2 linked regions of the Rhinolophus ferrumequinum genome follow. Each later gene encodes a partner of the first gene's protein in a complex. Links are inferred from orthologs where the notes say so. Each region holds a gene or a part of one and is shown in the gene's direction. Other genes may lie near its edges.

Evidence for each region. Proteins that work in one complex are often made in the same cells at the same time.
Region 2: the proteins of GNA13 (region 1) and G-protein coupled receptor 35-like are in contact, whole or in part, in a cryo-EM structure (PDB 8H8J), measured with the Homo sapiens proteins. The link is inferred for Rhinolophus ferrumequinum from reciprocal best matches to the Homo sapiens genes GNA13 and GPR35. Residues at the interface, in NP_006563.2 of Homo sapiens: Lys46, Arg47, Leu48, Val49, Lys214, Asn215, Val216, Phe218, Arg331, Gln337, Gln338, Lys340, Pro341, Leu342, Tyr343, Phe359, Arg360, Asp361, Lys363, Asp364, Ile366, Leu367, His368, Asn370, Leu371, Lys372, Gln373, Leu374, Met375, Leu376; in NP_005292.2 of Homo sapiens: Phe45, Gln51, Thr53, Thr55, Met59, Asp113, Arg114, Ala117, Val118, Pro121, Leu122, Arg123, Arg125, Arg128, Ala197, Leu198, Arg201, Pro202, Thr204, Asp205, Gly207, Gln208, Ala211, Ala215, Met218, Val219, Ala280, Lys281, Glu282.

The regions. Positions count from the first base shown.
Region 1 is NC_046304.1:45,092,073-45,095,813, forward strand, and holds the start of GNA13 (guanine nucleotide-binding protein subunit alpha-13), read left to right. Parts: upstream 1-1,087; 5' UTR 1,088-1,320; coding exon 1,321-1,603; intron 1,604-3,741. UniProt on the Homo sapiens protein: Guanine nucleotide-binding proteins (G proteins) are involved as modulators or transducers in various transmembrane signaling systems.
Region 2 is NC_046291.1:883,381-887,121, reverse strand, and holds the start of G-protein coupled receptor 35-like, read left to right. Parts: upstream 1-931; 5' UTR 932-982; intron 983-3,741. UniProt on the Homo sapiens protein: G-protein coupled receptor that binds to several ligands including the tryptophan metabolite kynurenic acid (KYNA), lysophosphatidic acid (LPA) or 5-hydroxyindoleacetic acid (5-HIAA) with high affinity, leading to rapid and transient activation of numerous intracellular signaling pathways.

The DNA.
Region 1 (3,741 bases):
ACCTGTTTCATGAGTTTCTCAGAGTGCTGACCTCTTACCTCAACTGCCCCGATAGGTTCTAGTTTCTGAGCTACAGGAGCCCAAATCAAAAGTATTATGGTTGCACTGCCAAAAAGAGAGACAGACCAAAATGGTTTTTACCACTTGAAACTAAATACTAAAAATGAAAAAGGAGGCTTCCGGGGTCCTTGCTATGGCAGTCTCTCTCCTAGCTGTCACTTGTTACCTGTCTCCTGGCAGCCCTTTCAGGTGTCCTGGCCTAAATCTGCTGTTAGAACAGAAAAAAGTCCCTTGGCTGGTCATATCCTCTGTAATCTGGCAGGAAACCTAAAATTTGCCTGCTCTTGTCCTCGGTCTGTTTGCTTATCTGCTTCCTTGTAGGGAAGAGTCTGCATCACAGTGTCCGGTTTAGGGGGATTTTCACCATGATCTCACCCTGCTGCAGCTACCATCCACTGATTTCATCGCGGCAGCTCGGGTGGGAATCCACAGTGAGATATTAACAACCCCTCCTAGCACATCTCAGATTAACTTCAACTCGTTCTTTTGCCTCGGTGTGTGTGTGGTCTTTGCAGAGGTATAAGAATGCCAAAAATAGTTGGGTGGGTGTATTGATGACGTTTGGTTATCGTTCGGCGCTTGGGAGACCAGGCTGTGAACGAAACCACCTTATTTTTGAAAATATACCCCAAACCTTCCCGGCTCGCGCCCGCTGTCTAAATAACTTTCCAGCCAAAAGCTTGGAAATAAGGTGCGCGAACGGTGACAGCAGGCGGAGGGCACGAAACCTGTGAGAAAGAGGGGCGGGAACAGTTAGGGAGCCCAAAGGACAGTGTCTGAGATCGTGTCTCGGGCCTCCAGGACGCAGGAAAGTAGCCCTTCTGCCGGGAATGGGCGCAGCTAATTAAAGGAAAACAGAAAGTCGGACGCCGCACGCTCACGCCCGGCCCTACCGGAGGTCACGTGACCCCAGCGGCCGCGCGTACGCGAGCTAGAGCGTAACTCGCCCGTAAAAGGCGGGAGGCGGGGGAGCGGCTGCTGCGTGCGCGCGCGCCCCCGGGAGGCAGCGGGCGCGCGCACGCGCCGGGGCCACCGCCCCTCTCGGGCCCGCCCTCCTTCCCTCCCTCCTGGCTCGCCCGGCCCGCCCTGCCCGGCCCGCCCTGCGAGTCAGTTCGCTCGTTCCCTCCCTCCCCCGGCGCGCTCGGGCCGCCACAACGCTCCCCGCCCTCGAGCCCGTGGTGCCGGAGTCGCCCGCCGCCCGAGGAGGAGGTGGAGGGAGCCGGAGGGGCCCGCCGAAGCGGCGGCGGCGGCGGCGGCAAGATGGCGGACTTCCTGCCGTCGCGGTCCGTGCTGTCCGTGTGCTTCCCCGGCTGCGTGCTGACGAGCGGCGAGGCCGAGCAGCAGCGCAAGTCCAAGGAGATCGACAAATGCCTGTCCCGGGAAAAGACCTACGTGAAGCGGCTCGTGAAGATCCTGCTGCTGGGCGCGGGCGAGAGCGGCAAGTCCACCTTCCTGAAGCAGATGCGGATCATCCACGGGCAGGATTTCGACCAGCGCGCGCGCGAGGAGTTCCGCCCCACCATCTACAGCAACGTGATCAAAGGTGCCGGGCGAGGGTCGGAGCCGGGGGACCGAGGGTCGGGGCTGCGGCCGGGGCCGGCGGTGACCCGCGCGGGGCCGGGCACCGCCCTCCTTCGCTCAGTCCCCGGCGAAGGACCGGGCCCAGCGGGCGGGCAGGATGGGGGCGCGCCCCGGGCACTGGCCCTTCCTGCCCCTGGGGCCTTCGTCCCCCAGGGGAGGGGATACCCGGGGCGCCCCGCTTTCCACTTTGACTCCCGGGTAGGGGGCACGTCTGGTCCCCCAGCCCCCACCGCGCCACTGGCCTCGCCCCCTGCGAGAGGGAAGTGAGGCGAACCTAGTGCACCAGAGTGCAGGGTGTCCTCGCCTGTCTTCCCTCCAGACGGGGCAGGAAGACCTGAGAGCCAGCTTCAGACCCTACACCCCCACTCACCGCCCCCCGCGCTGCCTGCCCAACCTCGCCGCCCGGGGTGGGTGACCCGAGTCGCATGGAGTCGGTCTGTTCCCAAATCCCTGCTTCCTTGGCCGCCTCCTGAGCAAAGGAGTTGCACGATCACAATAAGGAAACTTTTGCCGGAGATTCTTGTCAAGGGCGAATGGTGACAGCCCTTAGGCCCTTTTGAGCAAGGATATGAAACTTGAGGGTGTCATGTTTACTGTGCTGGCAATGAGGGAAGAGGAGACCCGTGCAGTTTAGTCTGCAAAACTTAACATCAGTGGTTTTTCGCCCCTCGGTCACGGTCAGGCAGGATGTTTGCCTGTAATCACTATGCAACACGTTCCACTCTCATTTTTGCTTAATGCCTGGGGGTGGGAGGGAGGGTGTGTACCCCCACTTGCTTCTGTTATTTAAATGAAATTGTGCATTCAGGTAAAGAATCTTTGGCCTAATAGGGATGTGGAGCCTGTACAGGTAGTCAGTGAATCAGTGTCAGCTTGGATCTAAACTCGGCTTTTATTGGACAATATTTTTAAAATTAAACTTTGTTCTTAAGTGAAAAATACATAAGAATTTTATTTCTGGGCTTTCAAAGAATTAGACAAGATGGTTTTTATTTTGTCTTTTGGTGGTGATTAGCACTCACTTGTCATAGTATCAGATATCTTCTACTTTATAAAAGACATTTTGGCAAATTGAGATACACAGCCTGGTACTTCAGGTGTATCCAGATTCTTTCATCTTTGTAGCAGTTATCTAGGAGTTTGTAACAGATTTCAGGTCTTTTCAGGCAGTGCTTTTTTCGGTCATTTTTGTTTGTTTGTTCAGGAAGTACTCAAGCAACTCATTGGGCTCACTTTTGTCCTCCCAGGACTGAGTAGAGGAGAACTGTTTGGGGGGCAAGGATTGTGGGGTAATGACGGGAGAAGAGCACTAGGCTGTAAGCTCCAGACCACAGGGAGCTCCGAGCCCTAGTGCCACTGCAGTTAAGCTGTACAGAACGGTTGTATTTATCCTATCTTAATGTTTAGCACAAAACTAATTAAGGTCTCTTTCAAGGCCGCAGACTCCGCCTTGCCAGTCCTTAATTGAAGGTACCTTTGTATCCTGATGTAGCTGAACTTAAGGAATTATGTCAGTGAATTGAGTCAACATGTTAACTGATTATGAGCCAGGTAAACACCTGGTTCTTAACTGTGCCCTGGGTCCTAAGTGTGACCCACTTTGAGCATTGATTATGAGATGAAGTAAATCACTAGATACATAACTTTTTTTGAGTTGGCATGATCAGAAAATTAACAGCAAAACAAGTGTTTCAGTTATCCAAACAAATGACTTCTTGATAATCATGTGACTGTTAAGATGGACCAAAGGTAACAGTTTAGTGATAGAAATACTGGGTTTGAACCAATCTCTGAGTTGAGATTTCTGTTTTTATGTACATGTTTTTTGCATTTGGTCTTCTTCTCTTTTAGGGAAATCTAAGGCCGTCTTGTGACTTAACACTGATTTGAAACTTAGTATGGAACAAGTTTTTTGAGTTTTGAATGTGTTTCTAGAAGACTCAGTGTTGCGTTAAGCAGGGTGCTCCAGGACCAAACAGAACATAGAGCGATAATGTTTGGTTCTTGGCATTTTATAAATAAATGTCTTTTTGAGGGGCTTAAAAAATCTTGGTTGTAGCCGTTTGCTTCATAGCCTGAACATTAGGCTATGCAGCCTAA
Region 2 (3,741 bases), on another chromosome or scaffold:
GGGGCTGCGTCAGGGTCTCTCGCTGGGTGATGGGGTAGGACTCGCCTGGCAGAGGGCCCTGGCGGATGGAGGACGGAGGACAGAGATGGAAAGTCAGCCGGGGGAGACAGTTGCCACCTGGGCTTCTGGGACGCGCAGCTGAGGCTGAGGAAGCAGGGGTCTGGGCACAGTGGGGCCCGGTCTCCACGCCCCTCCCGCCACACATGGTTCCAGGTCCACCGGCAGCACTGAAGGAGCCTCCCCCAGGGCAGACTCAGCCCCCAACAGGCCAGCTGCCACTCAACGCAGCCCCCACCCAGCTGGGTGACCTCCAGAAGCAGCTTGTGCCCTCTGGACTCCCAGTGTGTCCCCTCTCTCAGGGCTGGCCCTCTGCTTTTCCCTGGAGTCCTCGGCCGCCTGGAAGTGACTGCTGAGAACGTGGTGGACCTGCTCCCCGGGGTCTTTCAGGGTCCGAGCACGCCCGGCGGCAGTGGCCGTGCCCCTTGCCACCCCTTGCCACCCCCTACTGGAACTCGGATGCACCAGACACTTCAGCCTCAGTTTATATTCTTACGTCTGACACTGGCCCCGAGCCCAGTGCAGGGCAGCCCAGGCTGAACTGGGGCTGCGGACCTTGGGGCCCGCACAGACTGGGAGGGCCTGGGGCCCAGGCAGGCCACTGCTGTCTCAGCCGGCCTGGGGCTCCGTGGGACTCAGAGGCAGCCACGAGCAGGGCCAAACTGAGTGTCAGTGCTGAGCCCAGGCTGTGTCCAGGGCCCGGCCTGTCGGGTCCCCAGCTGCTCCGTGGACCTGCTGGTGGGGCACTGTGTCGGGTGATGACTGCCTCCCTCCCGTTCGCGGTGACCTGGCAGACCCAGGCGGGCAGGTCTGGGAGTGAGCAGGTGAGAACACCTCCTTTCCCAGCAGACTTTGTCCCGTGTCAGTTTCCTTCTTGGCATCTCGCACCACTTCCTGTTCCAGGCATGGTGGCCATGCCTTCTCGGTAAGAGCCGTGTCCTGCCCAGCCCTGGTCCTCAGTCTTCTCTGTGACTGTCCCGCCCGCTTTCCCTCCCGCAGGCCCGGGTCAGTCTCGTGGTGGGGTGGGGGCAGAGCTTCCGCGTGAGCATCGAGGCCCTGGTGCCCTGAGAGTAGGTAGTCAGGGAGGGGGCCTGGCTGGGGGCTTCCTGAGCAGCAGGCAGGAGGGACCTGGAGTGAGACGGCAAGGGCCGGCCAGGCTGGGGCCAAGGCTCTCAGACGCTCCAGGCTCGTTACTCTCTGTCTCCCTCTCCATTCATAACCATTTCCTGCTGAGTGCCCCATGTTGGCCTCACCTGATTTTGCTGCAGTCCCCCTGCCCCCAGTATTTAACAGATTTAAGCCAGCTTTGCTGCACTTTGACATGAATGGAAGAGTCACTTTGCTCCTGGGGACATTTTGGGGTCTTTGGACATGACTGTGCCCCATCAGGGGAGGGCCTTCTCTGGTTCTGAGCATGAGTTTGCGGGGGCAGGCTGAGCCCACCAGCTCCCTAGAGTTCTCAGCTCTGCAGCTGTGGGGCCCCCTCCCTCCCCGGGGAAGCCCAGACGGAAGCCGTGGGCTCTGGCTGCAGCCTGTGGGCGTCCAGTCCGTGTCAGGACCCTCTGGCCATTCCTGTCTGATTTCTTGAAAGTAAGGTTGTGTCTCACATACAGCGTCGTCCCCAGTTGGGGCTGAGACCACGAGGCCTGCTCACCCAGGGAGTGGAAGGCTAGTCGGGGACACTTGTGTGTGTTTCCTAAAGCACCTCACGCACAGACACACACACACACAGGTACACACCCCACACATGGACACACATGCACACACATGCACACACATGCACACATACACGCACGCACACACAGACATACACACACACACACACACACTCTCTGTCGACTCCCACACCCCCACACACAGAGCTAGGGCTCAGGCCCCGCCCCCCTCAGCTGCCTAGGACTCCTGGTCCCTTTACAAGTCAGCCAGGAGGTGAAGTTGCTGGGCAGGGAGCCAGCAGTGGCTTGGCCTGGGCCAGGTCCTGGTCCCCTAAGGTTCCTGGGGCCTGAGCAGGGGTGACGATGGGAGGCTGTGGCACACGTGTGTTTCTGTGTTCTCGCTGGCATGGGCTCATCCCTCGTCCCCCACACCCCACTGAGAAGACCAACCAGCTTCTCATACCACTCTCCTCCACCTTGGCCCCCTCTGCCCCCTAATTCCGAAGTCCTCTGCAAGCATGCAGTGGGGTGCTGTGGACGTGGCCGAGACGCCAGGAGCCTCTGCCCTTGAGGGGTCGTTAGGGGATGAGCCGCACATAGGTCCCCTAGATGGCCCTGACCACCCCATGATGTGTGGGGTGGTCCGTGACCAGCTTCGGGTCAGCTGAGTGCAGGGCAGAGGCTGGCAGAGGAGCTGGGCACCCGCAGGGAATAGAAAAGGCTCTCGTGCCAGCTGTGGGGAGTGGGCTCAGAGAACGTGACAAGAGCTGAGGCTGGAGAGGTAGGTCAAGGACCTTGAGGCCGTTTAAGGAGCTTGGGCAGGAGGGAGCCACTTCAGTTTACACAGGAACTGATGTGAGTATGTTTGACACCTCCCTCTGGCTGAGGTCTCAGAGATGGTCTGGAGGCAGGGACCAACCAGAAGACTGCTGCAGAATCCAAGGGAGAGGTGACGGTGGCCTGGCTGAGGGAGCGGTGACGGTGGCCTGGCTGAGGGAGCGGTGACGGTGGCCTGGCTGAGGGAGCGGTGACGGTGGCCTGGCTGAAGGAGAGGTGACGGTGGCCTGGCTGAGGGAGCGGTGACGGTGGCCTGGCTGAGGGAGCGGTGACGGTGGCCTGGCTGAGGGAGCGGTGACGGTGGCCTGGCTGAGGGAGCGGTGACGGTGGCCTGGCTGAGGGAGCGGTGACGGTGGCCTGGCTGGCAGGCAGTGGTGGAGGTTGAGAGGTCAGAGTTGTGGGATGCCCAGAAGCTAAGCTGTCTAACACAACGCCCTTTGGTTTGGTTGTGTTTGTTCCCAGTATATAGAGATACTTTTTTTGTATATTAATCTTATGTCCTATAACTTTGCTAGTTCACTTACTAGTTCATTGTTTTGGGGTTTTGAGGTAAATGCCTTGGGATTTTCTGCATACACAATTACATGTCCTTTGTGAAACTTTCTAGTTTTCCTTCTTCCTTCCCTCTCTGATAGCAGGTTTTTTCTTGCCTCATCTCCCCTGGTTAGGACTCCAGCTGGAACATGCCAGCTGGAACACAGACACACGTGTGCCACGGCCGCCCATCGTCACCCCTGCCCAGGTCCCAGGAACCTGCAGGGGACCAGGACCGGCCCCTGACGCAGTGGCCCCGGCCCAGCCATTTTGAATAGAAGTGGTGAGAGCTGTTTTCCCTGTGGCTGACGCAGTGGGACAGGGTCTCCCACCACTAAGAGCGCAATTCCCTGCAGGTTGTCTGCGAGGCCTTTTGTCAGGTCAAGGGCCTTTTGTCATTCCTCGTTTGCTGAGCATTTCTGTCATAAACAGGGGTTGGGTTTTGCCAAATTATTATTATTTTTTGCATTGATTGAGAGGATTATATAAATGTTCTCCTTTATTAATGCAGTAAATTATATTGATTGATGTTCTAATGTTAAAATCAGCCTTACATTCCTGGGGTCCTTGGGATATGATTGACTTTATATGTATATATATTGCTAGATGCAATGAACTAACATTTTCTGAAGGATTTTTGTGTCTATGGTCAAGCAGG